Linked DNA regions of Zea mays. The main gene of each other region encodes a partner of the protein of the gene in region 2 in a complex. Links are inferred from orthologs where the notes say so. Each region holds a gene or a part of one and is shown on either strand. Other genes may lie near its edges.

Region 1 (3,897 bases), on a different chromosome or scaffold from region 2:
ATAAGGGCCAGTTTGGAAACTTAAATCCCCTCTTAGAATACTAGTTACATGCTTTTGTTGAAGGGATTTAAGTTTCCCCTCTATATAGCTTAATTTCCCCCTCATTCCTCAGGAATCCTGAGGGGATTTAAGTTTCCAAACTAGTCCTAAAAGCAGCATGGTGCGTTGACGTGGAAATTAGAAACAACTAGTTACATGCTTTTGTTGAAGCATTGTGGAGGAACTTCATCCAGTGTGCTATGATCAAATGTAGCGTGATTCGCTACACCGATGAATGATCAATGTTCACATTTGATGATAGAGGTCGATGCTTGTGTTGTGTCATTGTTTCGGGAGATGAAATAGAATGTACAAGGGAAATGTATTACTTGCAGAGCATCTCATTTCACCAATCAAAGGTTGTGTAGAATTGTGCATAATCTGGTTTAAAATAGATGGTCGTACTATTAAGATAGTCAACATTGTTTCCATATCTGTCATCTAGAGCCACTTGAGTGATCTAACTTTGCATATGTTGCTAGGATCAAGTGGTGGATAAAGTTTGAGATAAAAAACCTTTGAAAATGCTAACTAAGTCTTAAAGGTGTTGATCATCACGTGGGAAATCATTTGGAGTTAACTTTCTTTGTAAAAAAAGGTTTTCGATATTCTCCTAACCAAGGGTTGTGTCTTTGGATTTGAATTCTGGATTAGTCCATTTTGTTCTGAATCAATTATTAAAGTGGCTATCGTAGCCCTTTAAATAAAATTTCCGAAATGTCTAATATCATCGAAGTCAGAGTTTGGATGAAGAAGTTATGAACATTTTTAGTTGAGCCGGTGTGTCTTGCTCAGTAATAAGCATATGCTAAAAGCAAGAGAAGAGTACATCGCAAAGAAATTCTATGCAGAGCCGCTATCAGATTCACCAGCACCAGCTTTTTTCTTGGCAAAGTACTCTTCTGCTCGGGCTTGGTTCTTTAGATAATTTTGTGGAAGCCATTTCTTTCGTTTAGGTAACAGAGTTAGGGAACAACCAGCTGCCTCAAGCTTCTCTTTAGCTGAAGCTGAAAACGCTCCAGCCTTGATATTCAACTTAACTGATACATCCCCATCTCCTAAGATCTACAAACAGGTGAACAACAAGTGATCATGAAGGTAAGACAAAATATGATTGCAAAAACTAACAGGTGGCACATGCCACTTCATGTTTATGTTAGCAGATATGGAAGTTTGTAGTTACTCTAGAATATATTGTAAATCCAATGAACAACCTATGGGAACATTGCCAAATTGTACAAACAAAGCTATTCAACACTTCAAGTGGTGCTCATCTAACAGAAACAACCAAAAAAACTCGATCCCGTATTGCATGTTCTAATAGATGACTCTAACTCAAGTGGATAAACTTGGTACCTAACATTATCACAGGCTAATTCAGAATCGATACAACAACCTATAAGAAGTAAAAAAGTAAGAATACTGGCCACTCAATCTAACGACAAATCACTAAACACTTCGATTCTTGCTTCAAATCTGGGGTACAATAAGGTTGCCTTAAAGAGAACATGTCCTCACTGGCCAAGACCTAAGCCAAACCCTTGAATATGAAGTCATTCATATTTTCGAACGTGTCAAGTTCTATGTCACAAATACCAGTCCACAAAACAAGTTTTATTGAAACAACCAAAGGTTAATCATCAAAAGATTTACCTTCAGCGGCAGCTTCCTTTCCCTGCCTGATGGATTGATCAGACCCCGTGATTTCAGGCTTTCCAGTGATATTTCGTCACCATCTTTGAATCCGCCGCGCACTATGTCTTTTAAATTGAATGGCACATACTTCGGCAGGCCAATGTGCATCCCTGAAAAGCCATGGTGGAACTCACATCAGGCAACTTCTCAATCACTTGCATTTCTGCATTCCTTGTAACCTTGATGGGCTCTCACGAGTAACAACACAATGCATAGTTCAATTAGTTATGCGCCAGCCTGGTGTGAATTTAATCACGGATGGGCAATGCCGAAGTGGGGGTGTGAGACAAGCATCTGTCTGAACTAGAGCTTAGCGAGTTGCTTCGATTGAGTGCATTAGGGGAAGCTTCGGTTTAACTGAAGCAACTCACCGCCGGCAATGCCCCGTAGCTTGGGGAGACGGCGGTAGAGCGGCATCTGCCCTCCCTCGAACCCGCGCCGGACGCCGGGCCCCGAGCGCGATTTCTGCCCGCGCATACCGAACCCGCAGCTCGCGCCCTGGCCTGCAGCAATACCGCGTCCCTTACGCTTGGGCCGCCGGCGGGACCCCTTCTGGGGCCCCAAATTGTCGAGCCGGAACTTCTCCACTGGCGCTGCGGCGTCCGAGGCCTCGGCTGCCGCCGCGGCGCTGCTGCAGACGACGGTGACGCGACGGGGCGGGAGCGCGCGGAGCGGGAGGGCGCGGGGCGCGGCCCAGCGGCCGGCTAGGATTCCGGGACCAACGACGGAGGAGGAGGTGAAAGCCGGGATGTGGAGGAAGATGGCGGTGGGAGCGAGGGAGAGGAGGGTGATGGAAGCCATGACTGCCGTTGGAAGGGCTTGCGAATTGCGATTGTGGATAGAAGCGGATAATTGGGGTTTGGGAACGAGATAAGATGGAGACGATGGGCCTCTTCCACTCTTTATTTGGGCCTGTTTTTCAAACAGCCGTGGCCCATTCATGTCAATAATAATAATATACTCGAAAGTTGTATATAAAGAAGAAAAAATCGGTATTTTTCTGAATAGAAGATAGAACTATATCAAAACTTTGATACATTATATTCTCTAACGCTTAGACAAACATAGTTAGCAACTAAAATAATTGAGTAAGGGATAGAACCATACCTTTTTCACATCTTTTCAAAAAGATTTGCAATATGCACAAACTTAAGCAAAAAACTCTGTCCGGCAACCAAACACATCCTTAATTGCTAGAATGTGGGTAGAATAAGTTATTCAAGCAATGTTCAAAAAAGCGCGATTAAGCGCCCGCCTAATCACGATTAGACGCTAAGCGGCATGTTAGCGCTGCGCTTAGGCCCTAGGCGGTGGTTTCCGCGGTGGGCGCGTGTAGGCGGCGCGTGATTTGCGCTATGCGCGCTGAGGCGGAAAGGAGGCGTGTGGAAGCGGGGTTCGGCGCGCGGGGAAAAGGTGAGCACGGAAGCTGCTGCGCGGGAATAGAAAAAAGCTGCTGCGCGGGAATAGAAAGTGAATAGGAGGGAAAGAGGTGGGAGCTGCTGTTGCCCGGGAGAGAGTGAAACAGGCTGGGAGCTGCAGCTGCTGTTGCATGGAAGAGGAGGAAAACAGGGCCGCTGCCAGACTGGTCCTCTTCCCCAGCTGTCCAGGGCCGCCACCGTCGGTTCCTCTTCTCCTTCTGGTCAAGTCGTCCAGGCCACCGGGGTCAGCGCCTCTCTGCTCCTTTTCCCTAGCTATCCAGGCGTGCTCTCCCTCTCCCTCTGCTCTTGCTCTGCTCCTCCATCTCTTCTGTTCTATACTTTTATTCATTATTCCAGGTAAGTACCCCTAATTCCTAGCTAAAACTGTTTTTTCTGTGCAAATATATATATTATATTGTATATTCCTACAAACGCTTAAGCACGATTAATCTACGCCTAAGCTCTCTAGGCGCTAAACAGTGGCCTAACGCCCGCCTAACGCCTAGCGCTTATTGTAACCTTGTATTCAAGTACTTGATGCAGAATTTGAGGGGAGCACACATATCTTGTGTTATTTGAGACTAATGTTTTCTTTAGTGATCTTACATAATCTCAAGGTGGATAGGAGGATTGAGCAAGCTACAAGGGTGTAATTGAGACTTGTCACCTTCATGGTTCACAAAAATGGGTACCTTAGTGAGTACTTTTAATTGGTATCTTAACTGGTGCTTTGATTAGTATTTAG
Region 2 (3,938 bases):
ATTATTATGATCTCTGTTGGAGTTCATTAAAATATAAATTTATGGTGCAAGTTTGATCTATGCTTCAGCTAATTAATATAAAATTATTTTAATCTCTGTTAGACATATGTTGCATGACTCTTTTACGGTAGATATAACAACCCGTCTTGTTTGTGCATCTAAATAAATTAATTTCATACATATGTCTTTACTAGAAAATAATTAGGTGCTTTAATTTACTCTACTTTTAGACATCAGAGTCCTTTCGGCCTCTTTCTCTCCATCGAAAAGAGAATTTAAGTAGCGCAAGGATCAAACGGCCGCACGGGTAAGTAGTTTCATCATCAGCTAATGAAGGTAAATCCGGTTTGTCTTATTCAATTTTTTTTTTGAAAAAATAAAAAAATCCAAAGCCATACTTAAAGTATATTGTATGCTAATCAAAACCACAGTAAACTTTAACAATAATTATGATTTTTTAAATAAAACGAGATGGTCAAACTTAGTGTAAAAAAGTCAAATGAATTATAAATTGGAACCGGAGTATATAATAGTTTAACTGATTATCCCTGCAACGCAAAAGGAGATCCTAGTTCAGTATAGCGAACGATGCTACTGCACACAATTTCAGACCCAACAGGGAAGATTCAGTATTCATAACGGAATATGGGCAGGGTAAAAGGAGATCCTACTTCATAACAGCGACGGTATCTACTCTCAAGTGTTCCTTCATACTGCACGCAGGTTCAGGCCCACTAGGGAAGAGTAAATATTCATAAGAAAATATCATTCATACACCAAATAAAACCTTGGAAGCAGAAGGTGATCCAGATATTTTTAACCAATTAAACAGGAATAGGATGCTACATGATTGTTACACATAGATGGCGGCTTAGAAGATTGCAAGTAGACATTACACTTACAGTTGCGAGCACATCAAATTGCAGTGTAATTAGAACATTCTTTTCTTCCCACTGTTTGAGTTTGTCCTTGTGCAAAGAACCTTCCTGCCTTTGGCGCGCCTGCGCTTCAGTACCTTCCTTCCAGAAGTAGTCCGCATCCGCCTGCGGAAACCATGTGTACGGGCAAGTGACTTCCTAGACCTTGACCTCTTGGTCATGCAGAGGGCAGCCTTTCCAGCCCTAATCTGCATACCACGGGATCTCCGTGTTGTCATTATACTGTAGCTGAACTCGATTCCCAAAGATGAACCTGGCATAGAACATGCTATAAGTATAAGAACAACGAAGGCACACATGCACTCACAATCATTGATTTGTGAATACCTATCTGGTTGTGTTTGGATTGTTATACAATGCTTAAATGGTTTGTTGGATTCAACTTTGTCGTGCTTCTTTTAGGAGCTTTGGGATTTGCTTTAGGTAATGGAAAAGTCGAGTGTGATTAAAGTGTTGTCGTAGTATCAGACTATCAGTCCTGAGATCAAGTTTCTTGGAAGCGTTTATGCTTCAACTGTGTTATATAATCTTCACTATATTGGTTAATAGTCCTGTCATATGCAGCCCTTCTTAAATCTTGATTTCTTGTCAAGCAAAAGAAAATGCTATTGCAATGACTTTATCTTGAGACTTGGTGGATGACAACATGCAGTGCCGTTGGTGGGCTCCTTGCCATTGCAGGAACAAGGTGTGGGTTTTGGGGTAGCAGATTTTCGACAAAAGCTACGCTCGGCTTTCTGTTGATGCCAGCAATGGTGACGCACTCCTCCTTGTAGGCATTGTCAAGAGGTCTCTAGACCCTAAGGGGATTTTGGTTCAAAAGCATAGGTTCTATAATCGATGGCGGCACCTGCAGATGTTGTTTACCTCCTTGGAGGCATCATATGAACCCCACCCCATATCTTGTTTGGCTATCAGGGCGTGTTCTGATTGCCAATGCTCTGATGGTTTTATTGGCGATGTACTATTATTTTGGTGATTGTCTTGCCATCGCTTCGTTTCGTGAGCATTTTTCTTTTGTTTTCAACGATGTTGGTGTATCTAGTCCTTCTCTATTAATATGCCCGACTAACTGAATTTTTGGTTTTTTTATAATACCAACCACACAAGCTTCAATGTTTTCAAAGAATTAGTTAGGACACCCTTATTTCTGTTTGTATAGATGAAGTGAGTGTAATTAATTCCGGTTCAAACGTTAAAACAACATAAATCCCCAGTTACTGTTCTTCACCCTACTAGAGTAATGAACAACAAAGAACAAACTATTCCAAAACTCCACCCTCTTGATACCAGCTTACTGTATTATTAGTGAATTATTAGCAAGTCAAACATCCTATTCTGCAAATCTATCGTCAACACACGGTCATGAAGTCATAATTTCAAATTTTTAATGTCATTTCCCCGTACGAGCTTACTAGTAAGCAAACTACCCACAAAATTTCCCCAAATAAAGACCAAAACAAATGGCCGCCCAAACGCTAGCACACGAATACAGGAAGAAAAGGATTACAGGATACATTCTCACCCGCAAACGCGGAGGAGGACGTAAATGCCAGAGACGCCGAGACAGCCGCCGCGAGCGAAGCGGGGGAGGCGGAGGCGGAGGCGGACGACGTGGAGGAGGACGAGACGAAGGAGCTCCGGAGGAACGGCGAGGCGGATACGCCCACCGGGGCCGCCCTGCGAGTGCGGCCGACGCCTCCGATAGACGCCGCCGAGATCCTCCCGGAGTGGAAGGAGAGAGACGCCATTGGAGAGGCCAGGGCGAGCGCCATGGTTTGGAGGACTCGCAATCGCAATTGCTGCGGTCTAGCCACTCCCTGTCCCTGGTGCTTGTTTTATTTTATCTTATCCACGCTTGATGAGACAGGCCTTATGGGCCTCCTATGGGCTAGTGCACATTTGACCCACACATCCCCTCCTCCGCCCTGGAGAATCCCGGTTCCTCACGGAGAAATTTAGGATTGCGCCATTATCAAAAGTGAGTTTCGCTATTTTACCATTAATTAGAGGGCTTCATTCCATTATAAAACTTACAATGATACTAGTTGTATGCCCGTGCATTGCTACGGAGTAAAATATGTTAAGATAAGATACGTTGAAATGCAGAAGCATTAATTGTTGTCCTATACTCTTGTTAGCATCTTTTAAAGATTAAGAATGTTTACAAAACTGTATCATGGTAAAGCTTGAAGAATTGCTTCCTCATTTCTGGATCTTTAGCTCTAAGTCCGAGCATATACAGTTGTTGAAAGCCAAAAGGGGCCGCGCGGACGGTCCACGGTCCGGACTGTCTTCGGTGGTGGCGCGGACGGTCCGCACGTGCGCAGAGTCAGTTAGGGTTCCTAGTTTCTCATGGGATTTGTTATCTAAAACCGTGGGATTGACTCGGAAATCAGTTCGAAGCGGATCCAGACCTCCCCCTTTATATAGATGAAGGGCTACGGCCGATTGAACTCCCCAACAATCGATCAAATCAAGTCTATTACTCGTTTTTACCTTATGCATTAGGAGTAGTTCTAGTCTAGTTCTAGTTTAGCCCTAGTTTAGTATTCTAATCCCCAAATTCTCCGCTTCTCTTCGACTCTATGTCGATTAGAGGATCTAGGTCGGCCTGTCGAGCCTAGACAACCCCTAGAATCTCTCCTCCCCGACGGGGTCCCTCCCGGGAGCGAGATCCAGGCGCCGCCGGCGACCTTTCGCCGCCCCTGCGCACACGCGGACCGTCCGGCCCCTAGGGCGCATACCGTCCGGCCGTCAGGCAGGGAACCCTAGCCCTGCGTCAGGTCGCGGACCGTCCGGCCCCTGGGCGCGAACCGTTTGCGCCTGTGTAGAGAGCACCGTCGCCGGTTCTTGTTGAGTGTTTGGCGCCCGAAAAAGGTGTCAACATACTTTTGGCGACTCTGCTGGGGACTAGGTGTCTAGACCTGCTAAAAATCGGCCCATAGATGGTCGGTTCTAAGGATCACACCAAGATCTCCACCACCAACATCATCAAGC
Region 3 (3,637 bases), on a different chromosome or scaffold from region 2:
TGTGCAGATTCTTCCTCGCGTGTCAAGATCGAGGACTGCTACATCGTCTCCGGCGACGACTGCGTGGCCGTGAAGAGCGGGTGGGACGAGTACGGCATCAGGTTCAACATGCCGAGCCAGCACATCGTCATCCGGAGGCTGACCTGCGTCTCCCCCACGAGCGCCATGATCGCGCTGGGCAGCGAGATGTCCGGCGGCATCCGCGACGTGCGCGCCGAGGACAGCGTGGCCATCAACACGGAGTCGGCCGTCAGGGTCAAGTCCGGCGCCGGGAGGGGCGGCTTCGTCAGGGACATCTTCGTGCGCGGCCTCAGCCTCCACACCATGAAGTGGGTGTTCTGGATGACCGGCAACTACGGGCAGCACCCCGACAACACGTCCGACCCCAACGCCATGCCCGAGGTCACCGGCATCAACTACAGCGACGTGTTCGCCGAGAACGTGACCATGGCCGGCAGGATGGAGGGCATCCCTAAGGACCCCTACACCGGGATCTGCATATCCAACGTGACCGCCCGCCTCGCGCCGGACGCCAAGGAGCTGCAGTGGAACTGCACCAACGTCAAGGGGGTCACCTCCCACGTCTCGCCCAAGCCGTGCCCGGAGCTCGCCGCGGAGGGCAAGCCGTGCGCCTTCCCGGAGGAAGAGCTCGTCATCGGCCCACCCGAGCTGCCGAAGTGTAGCTATTGAGGCCGATTGCCAAAAGAGATCATTGATCATATAGGCTCTTCGGTGATAGTCTAGACAAGCAGTATGAGAAATGCAGCTGAAATACGTTTGCATTACAGTGTCCGTCTCACATTACTGCTTCCTCCGATTACAATGTCTGGCAGTGGTATAACTTGTGACTACAAATTATGCATCAAGAAGAAATCAGCAAAACGGACATGATCATTGCAAACCTTTTTCATAGGTGCACAAGTTACATAATTGACAGACAACAACAGCATCGAATTTGTAAGCCAAATTCTGCAAAAAGATCGGAATTAAAACAAGCTGAACAGAGCGTGTGCAACCATGGGCTGGCTGGCTGGCTGGTTCCTCTCCTCACCGTCGTCCTCCCTTCCCCTTGCCCTTGCTCAGGAAGTGGTGGCGCTTCAACCTCTTCTTCCGGATCACCACGTCGGTCTTGATGTTCTCCGAGAATGGCATGCCGAGGAGGACCAGCAGCCTGAACGCCTCGTTGTCCGTCTTGGCGCTGGTGACGATGGACACGTCCATGCCGTTCTTCTTCCCGCCCACCTCGTACGGGATCTCCGGGAACACGCCCTGGTCACGGAGGCCAAGGCTGTAGTTGCCGTGCCCGTCGAAGCTGTTGGGGTTGACACCCAGGAAGTCCATGGTCCTAGGGAGCCCAAGGTTGATGAGCCTATCCAGGAAGTTGTACATTATCTACAGCCAAGGACAAAAAAAAGAAAAAGAAATGAGCCCTGTACCAGTGAAACGAGCTCACAATTTCCACTTGTATTGCAGATTATACTAAGCTGCCATATTCCAAACTGCCACGAAATACACTCCGAGGCCAAATGAGCAATGGATGAGGCTCACCCTGCCGCGGAGGGTGACTGCGATACCGATGGTGTTTCCCTCACGGATCTTGAAGCTGGCCACGGACTTCCTGGCCTTGGTCTTGACGGGCCACTGCCCGGTGATCATGGCCAGGTCCTTCATGGCGGCATCCAGCCCCTTCGAGTTCCCTGCCTCCGCGCCCAGACCGCAGTTCACCACAATCTTCTCGAGCTTGGGAACCTAGCCGTTCGAACCAACCGCACGACTCATCAAAAGTCAAAATCCTACCACGCCAGCAAATTAGCCTAGCTACAAGGAGGAACGGCGGGCCTTTCCGCGGCGAGGAGGAGCAGGGTCGACGGTCGAGCACCTGGTGGACATTGGTGTAGCCGAACTCCTCGGTGATGAGCGGGACGACCTTCTGGTCGTAGACGGCCTTGAGCCGGTGCACCTTCTGGGCTTCGGATGGGTCGACGAGCACGATGCCGGAGGGCGATGTCGGCGGCTGCGTGGGCTTGGGCGGCGCCTCGGTAGCGGCGGAGGCCACGACGCGGAGAGCTCGGCGGGGAGCCGCGGAGGGCAGGAGCAGGCAGCGGCGGGCGGATGAGGAAGAGGCGGTTGTGGCGACGGCGAAGGGCGTGCCCGAGGAGGGCAGGGTCACAGCCGCGGCTGCCATCGGAGCGGGGCGTGCGGAGGCGGGCGCGGCTTATGCCATGGATGAGGAAGACGGTTGCTGGATAAGGCGTCGGCTGTGCCGCTGGCAGTGGCCAATCCAGTGGTTCTGGGCTAGGCCTTCGTGTGCTCTGGACTTGGACCCATTGAGGATACAGAGATGGCTAAAGCCCATCAAGCCCAAGCCAAGATTGTTTAGTGGATCAATAAGATTAACATCATAATACAGCCTTGTTTTGCTAACAACGAACCTAATATCGTGAATACGTGATTAACAACAGTCATTGAGCTGGTCATGCGTGTAAAAAACAACTTAAAAAACAAGTGTGATCAGTTTAATATTTGATATGTGGGACATGTGCCCATGATGACGTTACATATATATTTTTTAGTGAGAGGTAACCATATATTAAACTGATTACACATGTTCAAGCTAAAGTGCATGACAAAAATAGTTCAATTAGAATCCATAATGGTAGCTTGCTATCAAGATTGTCATGCACTATTGCTTGGTCATGACACACCACATATAAATCAAATAAAATATTGAAAGATTGATATACAAATCAAAATAAAATGTTGAAAACTGAATATTCAAGCTTGAATATAGTAGATTTGTCGTATGTGGTTCGTCGTCTACGTCTCGCTTGGTTGGGCTAGGTCGCTTGACGCTTGGGCCTCGTTGGGCCGCAGGGCAGCTGTGCAGCTCGTTTGGCTCGTTAAGAACCAAACTAAAATGTTGGCTGAGCTCGTGACTCATTTCAAACGAGCCAAGATGTATCAAGCCACTAATGAGAGCGAGTTATGGATCCACAAGTTTCTCGTCCAGACCTAGTGGCAAAGTCTGTGCAATATGATTAGTAGGGTGTAGAGTGGTTTCTAGACTTGCGGGTATCGTACTTTAGACTTTAATAGGACCTCACTCGTGAAGTAGACTAGTTTGTGTACTTTGTATACATGGCCTTACTCTTCTCTTTCAACCATGATTGATGTCTTTAGTGTGTTGGTTGTGTTGGCCCAAAAATGAGATGCAATATTCCAAACTATCGTGACAGGGGTTGTGGACACCCTATGCTCCATGTGACAACACAATTGGATGCCATGGAGCCTAAGGCTGTTGTGTGGGGGATAGATATCCCCCGGGTCCACTAAAGGAGTAAAAGACCTCACGAAAGGCCCAAGGGCCCAATAAATCGTAAGGTCATTCTTTTGTGGGCCTGGGGAGAAACAACCAACAAAGCAGAGCGACGTGATACCGGATTGGTGCAAACCCGAATGGCCCACAACGTCGAGCGAGTAAATCGCAACAGAGACCCGACTTTCCCGCGCTGAAGCCCCCATGCAGCGGAGCCATGCGAAGATAAGTCGGCGAGGGTTACGTAGGGATAAACTCAAGAGGTTCACTACCTTTTAGCTACTTGTTGTTATCATATCCACGTGTACTGCCCCACGGTCG
Region 4 (2,969 bases), about 29 Mb from region 2:
ATTTTTTTGTTAGAATACAAATAAAATCTTAATGCATTTATACTTTTATAAAATTACTTTTTAAGATAAATTATGTTTCAAAACTAAATAAATAACAGTTATTTGTAGTCAAAATTTTATAAGTTTGACTCGAACATTATCCAAAACGACAAATAATATAACACCGGAGGGAGTATCTATTTGCTTGTCGCTATCTATTCTTATTTCCGCCACATTTTCTATCAACGTAGGAAATAGAGTGAATCAGAGCTAGTGTATGATATTATCTTCAACGGTTTATTAATAACAAAATAAAATTACTTACTTTTCTTTTGTCTAGATTAAGCCAATAATATTATAGTCATTTTGTTTTATTTTATAGAAATTAGCTTGAATTATATGTTGGTGCTAATTGTTTGTAATGGCATGAGATTTTACAAATATTCTATTCCACCCATATGGCCGTATGTCACGACATGTTTTATATATCATGCAACACATGGACACTCAATTAGTTCAGTCGCATGGAAAAATTGGTTGTATAAAACTATGACTCGGAAATTGGATCACCTAGCAACAGGAGGCTAGTTTGATCAAACAGTATGCGGTATCAGGTTATCAGCAGACGACTCAAGCTGTAGTCAAGCATCAGCGTATACTCCTAGTGAGAAATATCCATTTCCTCGAACCAGGATCATTTGCTTGTTTGATCAATACCATCCTACCCTAGAGTGCATTGCAGAAAGCACATTGTATTTGGGGGCCCATGATCAACAAGACCCTATCTCGTGAAGTAGTAGTAATTGTACATTTTCCATTCCGAACATTAACCGAACACCTGGAGAGCAATGCGAACAGACAGAGTCTCGATTCCATTCAAGAGGGCAAATGTAAACTGGACCGGTGACCACGCACCGGGTGAGGAAGACGGGGAGCCATCAATCAGTTGTCCCCCTCGGGCTCGAACTCCGGGTCGCCGTCTGGGTGCATCTCCCTCCACTGGTCCTCGGGCCAGTACTCCTTGATGTGGCCCCACTTCTTGCGGAACTTCTCGATCTGGCTGTCCATGACCACGAGCGCCGAGGTGTCGCCGACATAGTAGGGGTGGTTTCCGGACCACACGTCCACCGTGTACTCCGGCTTGGTGCCCCCCGTCACCAGCACCAGCTCGCCGTTGCAGTACACCTTCGCGTCCTCGTAGATCTCCGGGTGCAACCCCTTCTTGCGCATCGAGCAGCGCATCCCCTGCACCGCGCCGTCCAGGTTCCGGACTCAGGAATTAGCGGCGGCGACGACGAAGATCCGTGCAGGAATGGCGAGAGGGAGGGCCGGTGTGTACGAACGTGCGTACCTGGGAGGGGACGACGGAGCGTAGGGTGCGGGCGGTGGTCCTCGCGGCGGCGGGGATGGGGAGGAAAGAGGTGGAGAGGGAGAGCGTCATGGCGGACGATGGCCTTGCCTCGCGACAGTCGCTTCGGCTGCCTATGTTCTTTCCTTCCTCTTATCTATCGCCTTGCTAATGTTATCCTCTGGCGCTCGTCGATTCTCTCTTTAGGTAGCGTTGTCTAGGCTTGTTTGGGCTCTATATGTTCATTAAAGTCTGTCTGTGGTTTGTTTTGGGCTACGTGGAAATGCGACGGCCCACGAAAAATCCAGTGCCCAATTTCTCCTTCAGTTATTTCCAGTTGGCGGCCAGCTATACTAAAGAGGTATAGCTATGCGGTTTTTTATTTATCGAAACATTTCGGATCAAAATTCTCTTTCATAGATGTAACGTCGAAGAAAGTACACCACCAGAAATGAAAGTGTTGGTAGATGGTTGGTTGAATTAGTGGGCCAAAAGAAGAGAAAGTTGCATGCCGTGTAGAGTCTGACTTAAATATAATTAAGGAATGATATGCAAACTACAATTACAGTTGTTACGGTTTTCTTAAGAGTATAAAATTAAATAATTTAGAGCAACTCTATTAGAGCAACTCTAGTAGTTCTCCAAAAGATTCCTTAAATCAATAAATAATTTAGGTAGCTAAACTAAAAACTCATCTCCAACAACTCTCTTAAATGAATTTTCTAAATTTAGCTACTTCTCATCTAATCTCAATTTCTCCCTACATTTAGCAACCATTTATCAACTTCCTAAACAAAAAACTGACGATAACTTTTGTATTTTGGTGTTTTTTCACTTTGTAGTAGAGATATATTAACAGAGCACATTCGTCGGACGCCGACGATGTAAAATTGTGGCAGGTAGTCAACTAGAGATTAACCAATTGCCAATGCAATAGCCGCACGTGCACATGTTAGAAATAAACGAATAAACAATTGTGATAGTAAATAAAAAAGCCAACATAACTCACCAATTAAATGTGTCATCACTAATGGTCCTACTCAAACTAGCGTCATGTTAATTAAAATTTAACATATTTAGAAAGTAATAGATAGAGAAATGTTGGATGAGATGATTTTTTCCCCTATATTATATGAGAACTTGCTATATCTAGGATTTAGGTATTATTATTATACATAACTATTGTAGTTGCTCTTACTAAATACTATACTCTTCTATCACCTTTTGGTATATCATTATTCGTACGTCATGCTGCCCTAAGTATTCATATATTTTAACTTTGGTTTGTTTGGCTATCTCTATTCATTATGCCTTGTTGATAATAGATCTAGCTAAGTATTCATATATTTTAACTTTGATAGGTGCAATTTTATATTTGTTATTTATCGATTAACTACATCTACAAAGATTTATTCCATGTTGTATGAGTATAACAATGTTTGTCGATCATAATTACGATGTTCTGCTGCAATTCATACTAAACTATGATTGTTTGCTTTATTATAGCTCATACATCGTATATTATCATGTCCAATAGAAAAAAGTATGTTCTGATCGATTTCACCGGTAGAAGTTTGCTTAACATTTGTAAGATTTGGACTAATGGAGAGAACAAGTAGATGATCTGGTGCTATAACTAGCT
Region 5 (4,261 bases), on a different chromosome or scaffold from region 2:
ATCTTGAAATGCAGGTGGGAATATATGAAAGGAATAGGCCGAAGAAGCGGCAGAAAACGAAAAAGAATGGCAAAGGCAAGGATTGGCTCCTGAGGAAAAAGGAGCAGATGAGAAGAAGAGGACATGATGTGCCCGCCGACACGAAGTACACCGGGCGTAAGCGGAAAGGCTATTTCTAGCTCTGTGCAATGCCCCCTTGCCTGCAATGCTGGCTGTTCAGTTATGATGCTAGTTCATTTAGCAGAAGCAGAAGGATTTTTGTAAAGGGTGAAGCGAGGAGTTGTACTGGTATTCGGGAGTCATTGCATTTTTAGACAACGATGTGAAACTGTCATTTTTGTAGAACGTGGATGTTGAGATGAATACAGTTGGTTTGCGTGAATCTGTATCAGATCGCTGGTGACGCCCAGACTTTGGCTAAAAGAAACGCAGTTCATGTGTCAAGTACGTTGGTGTTCCAATCTGAATAACGCTCTATGGAGCCCCATACTTAGCAAATTTCTTGCCTTTTTTTTGTAGTGGATGCAGACGTAGAGGTGGGGAAGGTTAGAGGACAAGAAAGAAGGGTCGTTTTTGGCGAAGTAGTGCTCTACAGTTCAAACAAATTGTTCTTTACAACAATTTATATTTTCCGCCTCAAAATCAACAGATATAATTGTTGAAAACTTGACTTCACACGGTAGGGAATAGGATGCGCAGTGAGCCAGTGAATTGTGTATCAAAACCAGGCAAGTCACGGCCAGACCAGGCCTCATGTCTACCGCAGCACCTGGCACTTGCAGCAAAATCTCTGCACTAAACAAAAGCAACTGTGTAAGAGCAAGACCAGCGGAATTCTAAGAGCCAAATCTCAAGGAAAGAACAACGGCAAATGAGCTCGCCTGGCAAACATCAGGCTTCTCCAAAGTCCATTACTCGAGGTTCTGTAACTGCTGAGCTCATTTCGCATAGACATTCAGCCTTACTCGCGCTGTCACGTCTGGGTGAAGCTTGATCTCTGCAACATACTCTCCGATTTCACGGATTTCTGGAACCGTCACCAGCTTCTTGTCGACATCCCTACAAGACACAGCGTGCCAGCAGTAAGAGAAGCAATATAATGATGAGAAACGCTATTAAGATTGCCTAGGAGTTAGGAGCATATGCACTTGCCTATTAAGTTGTGACTTTATTATGTCAACAACATCCTGTGCCGTGACACTGTACAATAAAAGATATCGTCAGAAAAGTGAAAGTAAGACTATACCCAGCAGATAGTGACACTATAGATTGCAGTGTGTACAAAGTAGAGTTTGAAATGAGAGATGGAGATGGGTAAGCTGTAAGAGATAGCCTGAGACAAGAGAGAATAAATAATGGATTGTCCAACTTAGAACTTGCCTCCCAAAGATCTGTTTTCCTTTTCCACCTTTGCGAGGGAGTTTGAAAGCGCCAATGGTTTCAAAAACTCGAGCAAGTTGTTGCGCGTCTTCTTTTACCTATGTAAATAGAGGACTTCTTAAGGCCATAATTATAAACAAAAACTGATAAAAATGCATTGATAGAATTTCATGAACATATCATGCTTAGGACTTAAATTACGGAGGACATAAAGGCACTATATTTTCTTTTCATAAGGAAAGTAAGGATAAACTGCAATTGAAGTTTACTCTCCAGACAAAGAAAAAGGTCGCTGAGGTTAAATTGCAACTACATTTATTACTGAGTAAAATATTTTTTCCTACCCGCTTCTTCTCAGCTTCTATTCTCTCCTGCTCCAGCTGCATTTCCCTGCGAAGAGAAGTAGAGGCAATAAATTCATTCGCAATCTTACTTACCCATCGAATCAAACAGTATGTGTGTCGACCATTGCAATTCTATTAGAAAGGTGCATGGATTGGATTCATATCTCAATCTAGTTTTGCTAGGTGCCTAGGTCCCAAACCTCAGAGTCAAACTAAGCATACCACAGAGAAGGTCATACGGTTGCCAGCAGCCACTGAATCATTTGACAGAGTGTGGACTTTGCAATTACTTGAGGATTAAATGACATAACTAACAAAGCAAAGCAAGTGAGGGATAACCGAGAGCTGGTAGCAATTACTTGAGGACTTCTGGGGTCAGAAGTGTAGCCTTGCCCTTGGGAAGGAGGAAGTTGCGGTAGAATCCAGCTCGCACCTTCAGTGTATCCCCTTTCTTCCCCACCTCTTCTATGTCGTCTGTCAATATGACCTATGGGAAAGAATTGTTTTTTTTATGGAGAAAGGTAAAATCACATGTAATGCTAAGGGTGGCGGTAATAGCTACACAAGATAAGCACCACATTGTCAATTTAACTGGATGCACCGTTGTTGCATTCTTGTACAATCAGGCAAACACAGCAAAAGGAACGACTTATGAACTGAACTCCAACTAGTGAGGCAAGGCTCCCATCAAAGGTATTTCATCCCTAGTATCTAAATCCCCTGCCTAAAAGCCTGGTTAGTAGTAGTAGTAGTACAACTCTTGGAGCATCTAAATTGTGCGAGCCACTATATCTTACCTGTTGCCAGTGAGACAGCTAAGCTAGCTAACTTCATTTGTATCTATTGATCACAATATACAAACGTACCGACGGCGGTGCATCAATTTTTTTAGAGAAGAAAACTAAAACGCGGCAGGTTATGATGCCCTCAGCAACCCGCGTGCATTAACTGATTGCTAAGATGAAATCAGCACAGAACTCGAACATAAGAACACGCGGAAAGCCCGGGCCGACCTGGCGGTACTTCTTGACCTTCCCCTGGGCGACGATGACCAGCGACGGAGCCCGGCGAGAGGCCGTGAGGCAGCGCCCCGCCGAGGGCCGCGGGTAGGAGGCGGGGGTCCAGGGCAGCGTGGAGGCGCACGACAGCGACGCCATTGCTCTCGCGCTTCGCTACTCAAGCAAGTGGCGCTTCGGTCGCCTCCTCCGCTCGCACCGCTTTCCTTTCTTATCCATCCACTGACTTCGCGAGAGGCCTAAATAATGGTTTGGGCCCGGAAATGAGAAAGCGGCGGCGGCGGCCCAATCGATCTGGAATGGATAATGTCACGGCTCCGTAGAGCCCGTTTCACAGCTTCTCTCGCCTGTCGCGCTGCGTCCATGGCGGGAGCCTGCGCGGTCGCCGTGCCCGGATCCAGCCGCGTGAACTGCCGGCGTGATAGCCCTTTCTCGAAACTGAGAATTCGATATCACCGAAACGTATTTCTAATAAATAGTTCCATCGCATCTTGTAAGTTGGATAAGTTTGCAATTCGATATCGGTGAATTTGATTAATCCAAAACCTCAAGTACAGTGTTTGTCTAGTCCCGGGGTTTGGGATCAGCATCCCACAGCTTCAGACTTCTACGCCGCTTGCCAGACTGAAAAGGACTCCAACTACATAAAAATAATTGCTTGGCAAGAATGACAAGGGACCAACGCCGCGACGATATTAGTTGACAACTTTCACTCCCTCGGTTGCCACTCAGCCTGAAAATCTTGCAGCTCTCCAATAAAACGAATATACGAGCTCGTGGGGACCCCCAATGAATCTAAGAACTTTGATTGGACTACAGCACCATGTAAGACAATCTTCTATCCTGCAGTAAATATTTACAGCCTACAGGTTGTCGTTCAGCCACTTCGCAGCGCCATTAACAATGGACCTGAAAGAATTCAACATCTAGGTCAGAATACAAGAGATAACCCAATCACAAAAATGTCTGATGAACTAAATCAATCAACATTTTTTCCTCTCGAACTCAGCCAACCTTTTATTTTTCTCGAACACAACTAACACAGTTAGGATGGCTCAAATTTCAACAGAGGTTATGCATCTGCATTCAAATCTCCCATTACTACAGTGTAATTTCCCCTTTTAAAGAATACTCGGAAATGTAATGCAGTGACCAAAAATATAGTTCATTACTACAAGATTAAGTTGGGTTGGTTCAGATTTCAATAAAAGAGGCATCTGCATTCAACTTCCCATTACTATTTACTACACTAGACCGGACGGGGCGCTCCGCTGCGCCAGTTTCGAAGTGCGTGAAAGAACAGGTAAAGTGATAAGTCGTTCAACAGCGATCGGTGAACAGTAATATTCAGAGATACATCAGCCAACACGCGTGAAGCCACGGCCGCAGGCTGGATAATTTAAAATGCAGGCGTGAAGAGAAAGGCGTTCAGATTTTAAGAAACTTAATTTGTAATTTTCCCTTTTAATAAAGGAGTACGTGAAAATGTAACGGCTGCCATAAACAACTAGGTAGTTTATA
Region 6 (4,630 bases), on a different chromosome or scaffold from region 2:
GGCCATGGAATGAGGTGGAAGCGGTGGCCAGGGAACGAAGTGGAAGCGGCGACCAGAATACATGGGGCGGCGGCCAGAAATAAGGATCATAGTTGTTTCTGGCGCACAGGGAGCTTGGGGGGTTCATCAAAGATTCAGAGGGATTCAGGAGAGGTGGAGGGTGTTTTCTAATAAAATGCGGAGTTGGGAGATGCAACCGTTTGATCGAAGATTAGAGACTGAGATGTTATATGTGCACTATTGCTTCATGTGCACAGGTTACTTCGCCTTTGTAATATGCCTTTGTAATATAGGAAATGATATATGTGGATATTTCTGAGGAAGTGAGGACGAGACCGAGAGTAGTGGGTCCAGAGCTGCAAACGAACACGGGCTGCCCGCACATACAAGCCCGTTCAGGGCTTGTTCGGTTACACCAATCCAGAGGGGGATTGGAGGGGATTAAATCCTCTCCTAGTCAAAAATGACTAGGAGGGGATTTAATCCCCTCCAATCCCCCTCTGGATTACTGTAACCGAACATGCCCTCATAGTTTTTCATCCAAAACTCTGACTGGTGAAGCGGAACAAGATCAGCATATGCTGATGCGCATTGACTTGCGTTGCAAGATTTGGTGACAACTGTATAATTTACAGGGGGAAAAACTGGCGTAAATAACAACATAGAGGGATAAACAGGCTCAATTCAACATGCAAGACGCAGTCAGCGTTCAGAGCATTTTGCAGGTTTTCATGCTAAAACTGTTACTCCGAATTTCCTTCCTTAAAAACCTTTACCCACTTCTCAACACTGTCGATTACTTCACCGGTCTTGACCAGGTATCGGACCTTGGTCCCGTCCTCCAGGAATTTGTGGCCAACCCTGCTTACCACACTCTTCTCCTTAGAGTAGAGCATCACATTTGAGCTATGAATGGGGCCTTCAATCTGATCAAAGAAAATTTAAGTCTGATCAAGAGAACGATTAGGCACCTACTAAAACTACAGATATGCTCTTGAAACCAATATGTGCAAAGCATCATGAGAGGCCCAAAAAACAAGTTCAATAGAAATTTTGCTGACCATGACGATTTCACCGGGTTCATCGTCTGTGCCTTTCTTGTGCTTCGACTTCAAGTTCAGGTCCTTCACGATCACCGTGCTGTTGTGCTTGAAAAGGCGTGTGACTTCTCCAACCTTTCCTTTCTCACGGCCTGCAATAACCTGTACCGTGTCCCCGATCCTAACATGCATCTTGTGCAGCACAGGAAGACTGTTTGGTTTACACTTCTTTCGCTCCCATCTCTTAAGCTGCAGTGGAAAGTGAAGTTTTAGGACATTTCACATTATTGGATAAAAAAGGTATCAAATATTTGGACTAAAGATTTTTTTTACTCACTCTCATTTCAATTGGGCATATCTTGACCATAAACCTTACCTGCATATTGAACATATTAAACAGCTTGTCAGAACTTCACATCCTAAAGACATAAGATTCCATTTCAAATCAAAGAGACACTAATCAGATGCTTCTGAGATATGGCATGACTCAAACACAGTGGTTACGATTCATGTTGATCTGATCAAGACACTACAGGATCCAGGGCTCCTCTTTATGTTTGAGTAATACGATATCCCTTAAAATACAGTGGTTCTATCACTTCCTTCAACAGTGATTACTTGACCTCACTATCTATTCTTTACTTGCTTTTGCTTCTTAACAGAAAGGTTTATCCTCATCCGATTCTTATCAGTTGGGAATTTTCCAGGCACAAGTACATACAGGTAAGGCATAATAAAGATGACACAGAAAAGAAAGCAGGGTTCAAATACAAACATCATTATGCTCATAATACACTATTTGGCGCCAAATTTTGTTTCCAGTTAGTCATATGTATTGTGTGATGTGGGGTAATTCAGGCATAAATATATATAAACAAAATCAGTGGCACATTGAGGGCAACATAATTTCTTCAGTTGACATTTTGACCGCTTCAAAAGCAACATAATTTCCTCAGTTAACAAACTAAATAAAGAGTACTCGAACAAATTTTACCACATGAAACACAGCATACTCTCTATTAGCACTAAAAGGCAAACATGTGCATAGTTGTATATGCAAAAAGGACAATACCGGATTACCAATGACAAAGGAAATTCTCTTACTTAAATTAATCCCAATCAGTTAATCTATTTGGCGCACTCAAATCTTACCATTTAAGCTTCCATGCAAGATAAAAATAAAAAAAGAAGGTAGACGAAATTCAATATGGACACGGTCTAAATTTAGTGTGTGTCGTGGAGCAAATAGAAACTTAATGTAATATGAAATCTAATAAGGGCGAGTTTGGCATAGTTCTACTCCAAAACTTTGGGTGAAGTATATCTGCTCCGAAGTGTAGATTGCTTTCTCATAACCAGTGCATTGGATGTGTCTTGATTGTTTTTGAAGGATTTTTCAAAGTAGCAAAAAATGTACTCCAAAAAATTATACTACAACTCTCAAAACTCTATAGAGTTTGCAACTCTAGAATTAGGGTGTTTAGTTGACTTTGTCCAGGTCTTCCTTAAAGTTTTGCTCTAGAGTGATGTCAAACACCCCTAAACATAGTCATATTAGAAGCCTGGTTTGTCATCCTTGAAAATGCACAATTAATAACAATGCAAAGGTAATTTTCCATTTCATTGCATCCAATCCATACAGACTAGCTCCAAAACCGTAATGCAAGCTCGAATGTCCCTAGAACAATTCCATCCGACCGCGCTTTGCAACGCTATCCAGAAACTCCAGAGTAAAATCTTTCACCAGAACAGCTACTTATTATCTACCAAACCATCAGCAGAACGGAACGGAATTGGGAAGCAGGAACAGACCCCAGGCTGCGGCGCGGAGTAGGTGGCGAGCCGGTTGCCCCAGAAGCTGCTGCTGCTCGCCGTCGCCGCGCCTAGCGCGGAGATGGAGAGCGACGCCATGGCGCCCTGCAGCGATGCCATCCCAGCCATCCTCTCGCCGCTCTCCCTCTCTCACTGGACTTGCTCAGCGCCCAAACTGCTCAAAGGATAACGCACGCGGCTTCTTCGAGTTGCCCGGAACCGGAAGAGAGAGGATAACGCGCTCTTGTATTCTGACGCTGGTGGGTTGGGCCTCGTCACTAAATGAGACAGGCCTCAGGTGAGGCACAGATGGGCCTGGAAGACGCTTAGGTGATCCAGTGAGGCCCATGGGTGCTCGTTCTACCGCCGTGAGAGGCTACAGGCTAGGGCCTCGGCTCCACGAGCGAGCTCCGCACGCATCAGCTGATCAGCATCACTGCATCAGCTATCAGGACGACAGGACGAGGACGGCGGGGTCAAGGCTCTCTTTCTCTCTCCCTCCCTCTCTGCGTGTCTCCTCGCACGCTACGCGAGGCCACGCGAGATTGCTTGGGAGATGCGTGCCCGCCTCCAGATTCCCCGTTCCAGCGCCGAGGCGCGCAAGCTACGCGACGGTTGCTGAGGCAAGCGAACCCCCTACTCCAGTTTTTCACTTTGCTGTTGTGTAAAATAAAATTCGCGTTACAGAGACAGAGACAGTTTGGGCGATGGAGGGTAGGTGGATGGCGGTGACATCGAAGCTTTGCGCTTTTGCTGCTGCAGGTCCCATCCTGCACCGAGAAAGGGTGGGATGTCAATCGGATTTCTCTATTGCAAATCATGGTTGCAAGTTAGACGTGTTTACCTCAGATCTTTTTCTCCAGAGACATTGGGTATCTCTTTTCTCATAGTGGACTACATTTCTCCCCCTCGAAGTCAATATCTCTTTCTTCGACTTTTCATTGCTGGCAGTTCTGCGCATGTCCTAAATCCTTGAATCATAGTAGGACATCCATGACAGATCACATAAACAACACGGCCAATACATCACTGGGCAGTTGGGCCTCGGCTCCTATCGCCGTCATCTAACTACCATCTAGGGAATCAGGAATGGTCCTGCCGTGCAAGCAAACCTTTAACGTTCCCCATGGGATAAGCATGTGACTATGCAAATGCCCGACACAAATTATATCTTATTATGGTTAAGAATCTTGTGTTTATTTTTCTCTTTCTCCTTTTCTATTCGCCACATGTGTTGAGATAACTATGCAAATCGTGACATGAAGTTTTGTTTCTATGTGGCGCTACCAAACAAAATGGATAAGGAAATGTGTGGCTTTTTTCCATGATAATTGCGACAGTTTCATTTCGTAGCTATCTGTTCCTCGTGGCCATAGTAATGCTTTGCACTTTGTTAATTTTGTAAGAAAAGAAATGGCATGATCTAATAATAAGGCCTTCTCTCTATGTGGCTAACTGGCAAGGGCTTAGCAATCCTCCCCCTTTCTAACTATAACCTTTTAAGGCATGGATGCTGGAGTGCTGGGCAAAACTCAATCTGTCTGGGCAAAGCTCTACTTGCTTGCGACACTCCAGATGTGGACCATTTTTTTTCACAGGTTTCGGAGCTAGACATGTCAAGTAGTTTCCTTCGGTTGTTGATTAATTTGCCCACTGTGATAGAGATTTTGCACCTTGTGGCCTCCACAAGAGTTACTTAGTAGAGACGCACGTTGGAAGGGCTTCCAAGACAAGTGAAGCTCACTAGCTCAGCGTTCAGTTGCTTCCCACGCTTCACC
Region 7 (4,546 bases), about 10 Mb from region 2:
AGGTTGATTTAAACCGTACCATATTACATGACTACTCATTGACAGAAATTTGACTGAATTTCATGCATTGGTAAACATCAAAATTACAAAGAGGATTTATACTCCCCCCCCCCCCCTCCCCGATCAGAGGCATGGTTATGAGGATAGCATTCCAAACAAAGGGCAAAACCTTCTGGGGAGGAATTCGCCACTGCATCCTTTTCAGTCGATGAATTCTCTATCCAGTTTTTTGTATTCTTTTATCCCTGATCGGGAGTGGGACAGGTTTTTGAGCCTCGTGCGGATGTTCTGTCCCTTTGTATACCTTGAGGTGGGTAAATAATCTTCTTCCCAGCTGCAAATTGGCAAAAAAGGTGAGCATATAAATGTAAATATAACAAGTATATAGCACATAACAAAACTAAGTTAAATCAAATTTGCCATCAACAAGAAAAATGGAATGGTTAGGGGGGATGCTTCAGATAACAAGATATTTGCCTGCCATAATGTGAGTTTCAGTAAACGCATCCATACTACCAAACAATTGAACTAAGAAGCAATTTGCAAGAAAAAGGTTAATAGGCAATTTTTATGGAGTTCATGCAACACACCTTTGCGAACTTAGAAAAAAAAAGATCGGCAAGATAATTAACTAATTCAATCTGGACTTGTTAATTTTGTTCAATAACAACATTCCCTTGAATTTAGTACTGTGATTTATTCTGAATGTCACGCTTTCACTGGGAGGTACATGCTGATGCATGAGCAATGTTCTGACTGCAATACACTTCAGGGCTTGTTCGTTTCGCCGTTAATCCATGTGGATTGAGTGGTATTGAGTCGGTTTAAATCCATAGCAAGTCAAAATCCATCCCAATCCATCCCAACACACCAATCCACATGGAATTGAAATAACCGAACAAGGCCTCACCATTAACTATAGTAGTTCTCAATCTCAAAAGAAAAAATTCACATCTGCTAACTAATACCAAATTGTAATTTTTGGGACCTTAAAATAAAGGTCACCAGGAAATTTGGTTGTCATTTTCATATTTGGCATACATTATAACATGCGCACTAAAACGAGAAAGAGAACATGTAGACCTGAGGCAATCAGCTAGTAGATGTTTTTTCTTACCCTTCCCTTGGGGAGCATGCCACGAACCGCATGTTCAATGATTCTCTCTGGAATTCTTTTCTGAAGTTGGTCAAAAGTTTCTTCTTTCATCCCTCCAGGCCTTCCGGAGTGCCTCCTATAAAGCTTTTGTGACCGCTTTTTACCAGAAACAGCAACCTTATCTGCATTGACCTATGTGAATAGAAAAGGTTGTTAATGACTCTCAGCATTGTAGTGTAACACAATAATGCATATCATCTACTCCATCTGTTCCAAATTATAAGATGTTTTGGTAATTCTAGATACATAGTTGTTACTAAATATCTGGACATGAATTATGTCTAAGTGCGTAGCAAAAGTAATGGATCCAAAAAAAATCCAAAAAGTCTTATAACTTGGAACTGAGGGAATACGTGGTAATGAGCCTTTAGAGATGCACCAGTCACAAAAGGACTATGCTAACATAAACATTAAACACAACTACAGTTGAAGATTATTTGAGGAAGGTTACTCACCTCAGTACCAAATAATCTGAGGGAAGTAAAGCATGTATACTAAGGCCCTGTTTGGAACCTCTACAGCTAATAGTTAGCTGCTAAAATTAGCTATACAGGTTCCAAACACCCACAACTAATTGTTAGCTAACTCACAGTTAACAATTAGTTCATTAGCTGGCTCAACCCAGCTAACAATTTGTTAGCTGGCTACCTGTTAACTGTAGGGATTCCAAACACTATAGGTATTGAGAGAACGCTTACCACAATAACAAAAGCTCCCATGTCTACACTAGGAGTGTAAGTGGGTTCATTCTTTCCCCTGATATGTACTGCAATGGTGGATGCTAGCCTGCCTAGGATCTTGTCTGTTGCATCAACAACATACCATGTCTTCTCGGTAGTTACATGATCTGCAGCCTTAGGATACCAGGTTGTATTCCATATGTCCTGCAAATTAAATCACTGAATCAGATTTCAGTAGACACAATTACTTGTGGAGTAATTCATTAGAAGAAAGAACAAGGCATAGTACAAACAAACCATTCACTTTGTACCCATAGTATTAGTAACTGATCCTAAACAAGTCACAATTATGAACAGGCTGGTTGGCAACCATCAGTTCACTTTGACTTGCATGTCCAATTAAGCTCATTTTTAATGAATTCTCTCTCACCACAAACAGCCCATGGGTAATTTTGGATATGATGGCACATGGCAGATAACATATATAATGTACGCAGTTCTATTGTAACTTGATTGCCCTTCATCATGCACATAAAAGGATAGTCGAAGCCTCTGAGGTGGATTAAGATGGCCACGGTGAAACATGAACAAAATAGGATGGACACTGTCAGTCCAGGGTTACAATCCTGCAAAACGAGCTGTGAAAATGTGCACATTGTTTCAAGAGAGGAAGAGAGAGCGTCGTACGGGGCCGCAGAGCTCGTCTCCCTCGAACATGAAGCGCTGCTCGCGGGGCACGAGCGCGGCGAGCGGCTGCCTCTTCTGCTTGTCGCTCTTCTCGCACCGCACGGCCAGTCCCACCGGGGCGGCCCGGCGCGGCCCCACGGACGCGGTCCGGGTCAGGCGGCGGTGGTAGTGGCGCGGGGCGAAGGCGGAGGAGAGCAACGTATGGGAGGCGACGGCCGTAGCCATTGCGGCACGGCGAGCGAGCGGCAACAGGAGGAGGATGTGCAGACGGTTGGTTCAGTGGGACGCGGCCATTTTTAGGCGCAGTGGGGAGCGTCAAGCGGATAAGGGGATAGGAGACAAAGAACAGGGAAAGGTTAACAAGAACATATGGGCTTCATGGGCTCAGAACGAAATGCAGATTTGGCCCATTACGACACCTTATCAGCTCATCTGAGATTTAAACGCTTCCTTTGAAACTCTTCCCAAACTCAGAATAATGGCGGTTCCATAATTCCATCTAAAAAAAAGAAATTCAATGTATTACTATTGGGCAAAGGGAGCTGCATTAACAAAATATAGCTTCAGACAGGACCATATTTTTTTCAAACGATTCCGCTGTTCAAGTACCAATTAGAAACATCGGTAATCAGAGAAATTCTCGAGTCCAAATAAAATGACGGGAACAGAACTTCCATTGCTGCTAGTTTCCGCGACAACCATCAGCAGCAGAAGCCGAATTAATTGATAACGGACACCATTTTCACATGTTCCATCAGGAAACGGAAAGGAGGCAGAAAAGTGTTCATTCTCTTCTAACCAAAGAAAGCATATCTTTTACATATATAGTGGCAACATCGTGTGATTGCGTTGCAGTGAAGCAACAGCTTAACGTGTTTCTGGTTCAGATCCAGGATTCCCTCGCAGGAAGAACGCAAAGATGATAATATACAACAACAAAATTGTGAACCAGAGATGTCGAGTATCGACGATTAGAACCATATGTAAATCAATGGTTAGTTGGCTACCAGCAAATGAACTGGGAGGAAGGTTACGAAGTAGTAGAAGACCCTGAATTTGTCTGTGTAAGAGGTTTTACTTTCCTTGTGTGACCCAAACTATTCACAAGATCCCTGCGAGTGCATACAGGAAACATGCTCAATCCATGCATGTTTAGCCGCCACAAAACGTATGGAAAACTGAGCTGATCACGAGATGTGAAGCGAACCACTTCATTAAACCAAGCACACATGAAATGGTTCGTTGCAGGGGTGAGTTCCCTCACAATAACAGAGGCTTCGGCTAGAGCTGAAAAATCAAACGGGTAAATTCATTATAACAGTTCGGAAAACATATACAGAGATATTCCACAGGAGCAAAAGAACAATTGTTTGAGAAAGATTAACAGACTGACCTTTCAGTCCGTGCAATCTTTTTGTGTCCGGCATTCCATCTTGACGATACCGAGTCAATTGTACCTCTACCTCTTCAGGGGTAGCCTTGTGCTTTTGAACAATAGCTTTCCCCTCATCATATATGTTACTCCGTGCTCCATGTTCAGAGATAGCAAATGTAGAGTTTGTCCTCCAAAGAAGAGCTTCAAGCATTCCTATAGGATCTCTTCGTAATTGGTATTTAGAGTCAACCCATATAGAGTACCTTGCCTCTGTGAAAAGGCGATGAGTCAACATCTGCAAAAATCATGTTAAGTGATTTAGTATCTGAACACACTTTGTTTCCCAATCCTAAAAATAAAATATCAGGCTTAGGAAAGTGAGAATGAGAATTTCTATCATGACAAATTGGTACAGAGGATAGATTATGACATCTTAAGATTTCTACCTTTGGTATCTTCCCATTTAATCGTTGATCTACAAAAGGGAGGCTCCTGACAACAATGATCCGCCACCTTCCTATCATGCTATCATCACCAATTACCTTTCCTTCAGCTTCCTGAGCTGCTAGTGTCACTTCATCCCAGAAAGCAACATAGCAAACCTGCTTTAACATAAGACCATGCGAACTTGTATAATCATCAAATGAT

What was found.
Region 1: 50S ribosomal protein L34-like (region 2) and 50S ribosomal protein L15, chloroplastic-like precursor share a complex: the UniProt entries of both Arabidopsis thaliana proteins name them as parts of the 50S ribosomal subunit. The link is inferred for Zea mays from reciprocal best matches to the Arabidopsis thaliana genes AT1G29070 and RPL15.
Region 3: 50S ribosomal protein L34-like (region 2) and 50S ribosomal protein L5 share a complex: the UniProt entries of both Arabidopsis thaliana proteins name them as parts of the 50S ribosomal subunit. The link is inferred for Zea mays from reciprocal best matches to the Arabidopsis thaliana genes AT1G29070 and AT4G01310.
Region 4: 50S ribosomal protein L34-like (region 2) and 50S ribosomal protein L31-like share a complex: the UniProt entries of both Arabidopsis thaliana proteins name them as parts of the 50S ribosomal subunit. The link is inferred for Zea mays from reciprocal best matches to the Arabidopsis thaliana genes AT1G29070 and emb2184.
Region 5: 50S ribosomal protein L34-like (region 2) and 50S ribosomal protein L9 share a complex: the UniProt entries of both Arabidopsis thaliana proteins name them as parts of the 50S ribosomal subunit. The link is inferred for Zea mays from reciprocal best matches to the Arabidopsis thaliana genes AT1G29070 and RPL9.
Region 6: 50S ribosomal protein L34-like (region 2) and 50S ribosomal protein L24, chloroplastic-like share a complex: the UniProt entries of both Arabidopsis thaliana proteins name them as parts of the 50S ribosomal subunit. The link is inferred for Zea mays from reciprocal best matches to the Arabidopsis thaliana genes AT1G29070 and RPL24.
Region 7: 50S ribosomal protein L34-like (region 2) and 50S ribosomal protein L13, chloroplastic-like share a complex: the UniProt entries of both Arabidopsis thaliana proteins name them as parts of the 50S ribosomal subunit. The link is inferred for Zea mays from reciprocal best matches to the Arabidopsis thaliana genes AT1G29070 and emb1473.

The regions. Positions count from the first base shown.
Region 1 is NC_050096.1:27,447,138-27,451,034, reverse strand, and holds 50S ribosomal protein L15, chloroplastic-like precursor, read right to left. Parts: upstream 2,537-3,897; 5' UTR 2,536-2,536; coding exon 2,106-2,535; intron 1,845-2,105; coding exon 1,693-1,844; intron 1,105-1,692; coding exon 883-1,104; 3' UTR 798-882; downstream 1-797.
Region 2 is NC_050098.1:192,686,046-192,689,983, reverse strand, and holds 50S ribosomal protein L34-like, read right to left. Parts: upstream 2,740-3,938; 5' UTR 2,714-2,739; coding exon 2,464-2,713; intron 1,192-2,463; coding exon 932-1,191; 3' UTR 788-931; downstream 1-787. UniProt on the Arabidopsis thaliana protein: This protein binds directly to 23S ribosomal RNA.
Region 3 is NC_050096.1:5,386,913-5,390,549, forward strand, and holds 50S ribosomal protein L5, read right to left. Parts: upstream 2,289-3,637; 5' UTR 2,186-2,288; coding exon 1,880-2,185; intron 1,750-1,879; coding exon 1,549-1,749; intron 1,393-1,548; coding exon 1,048-1,392; 3' UTR 762-1,047; downstream 1-761. Other genes in the region: glycoside hydrolase, family 28 precursor, read left to right, coding at 8-690. UniProt on the Arabidopsis thaliana protein: Binds 5S rRNA, forms part of the central protuberance of the 50S subunit.
Region 4 is NC_050098.1:221,939,942-221,942,910, reverse strand, and holds 50S ribosomal protein L31-like, read right to left. Parts: upstream 1,479-2,969; 5' UTR 1,421-1,478; coding exon 1,331-1,420; intron 1,225-1,330; coding exon 922-1,224; 3' UTR 629-921; downstream 1-628. UniProt on the Arabidopsis thaliana protein: Binds the 23S rRNA.
Region 5 is NC_050100.1:222,785,378-222,789,638, forward strand, and holds 50S ribosomal protein L9, read right to left. Parts: upstream 2,954-4,261; 5' UTR 2,882-2,953; coding exon 2,738-2,881; intron 2,212-2,737; coding exon 2,084-2,211; intron 1,771-2,083; coding exon 1,725-1,770; intron 1,479-1,724; coding exon 1,381-1,478; intron 1,201-1,380; coding exon 1,153-1,200; intron 1,060-1,152; coding exon 939-1,059; 3' UTR 882-938; intron 796-881; 3' UTR 571-795; downstream 1-570. Other genes in the region: methyltransferase WBSCR22, read left to right, coding at 15-179; Chaperone protein dnaJ A7A, chloroplastic, read right to left, coding at 3,604-3,649. UniProt on the Arabidopsis thaliana protein: Binds to the 23S rRNA.
Region 6 is NC_050100.1:50,135,411-50,140,040, forward strand, and holds 50S ribosomal protein L24, chloroplastic-like, read right to left. Parts: upstream 3,039-4,630; 5' UTR 2,982-3,038; coding exon 2,853-2,981; intron 1,417-2,852; coding exon 1,378-1,416; intron 1,290-1,377; coding exon 1,062-1,289; intron 927-1,061; coding exon 744-926; 3' UTR 558-743; downstream 1-557. UniProt on the Arabidopsis thaliana protein: One of two assembly initiator proteins, it binds directly to the 5'-end of the 23S rRNA, where it nucleates assembly of the 50S subunit. Required for optimal plastid performance in terms of photosynthesis and growth.
Region 7 is NC_050098.1:202,897,237-202,901,782, reverse strand, and holds the start of 50S ribosomal protein L13, chloroplastic-like, read right to left. Parts: upstream 2,855-4,546; 5' UTR 2,749-2,854; coding exon 2,524-2,748; intron 2,041-2,523; coding exon 1,855-2,040; intron 1,289-1,854; coding exon 1,118-1,288; intron 335-1,117; coding exon 218-334; 3' UTR 1-217. Other genes in the region: uncharacterized protein LOC100285659, read right to left, coding at 3,554-3,810, 3,917-4,193, 4,345-4,500.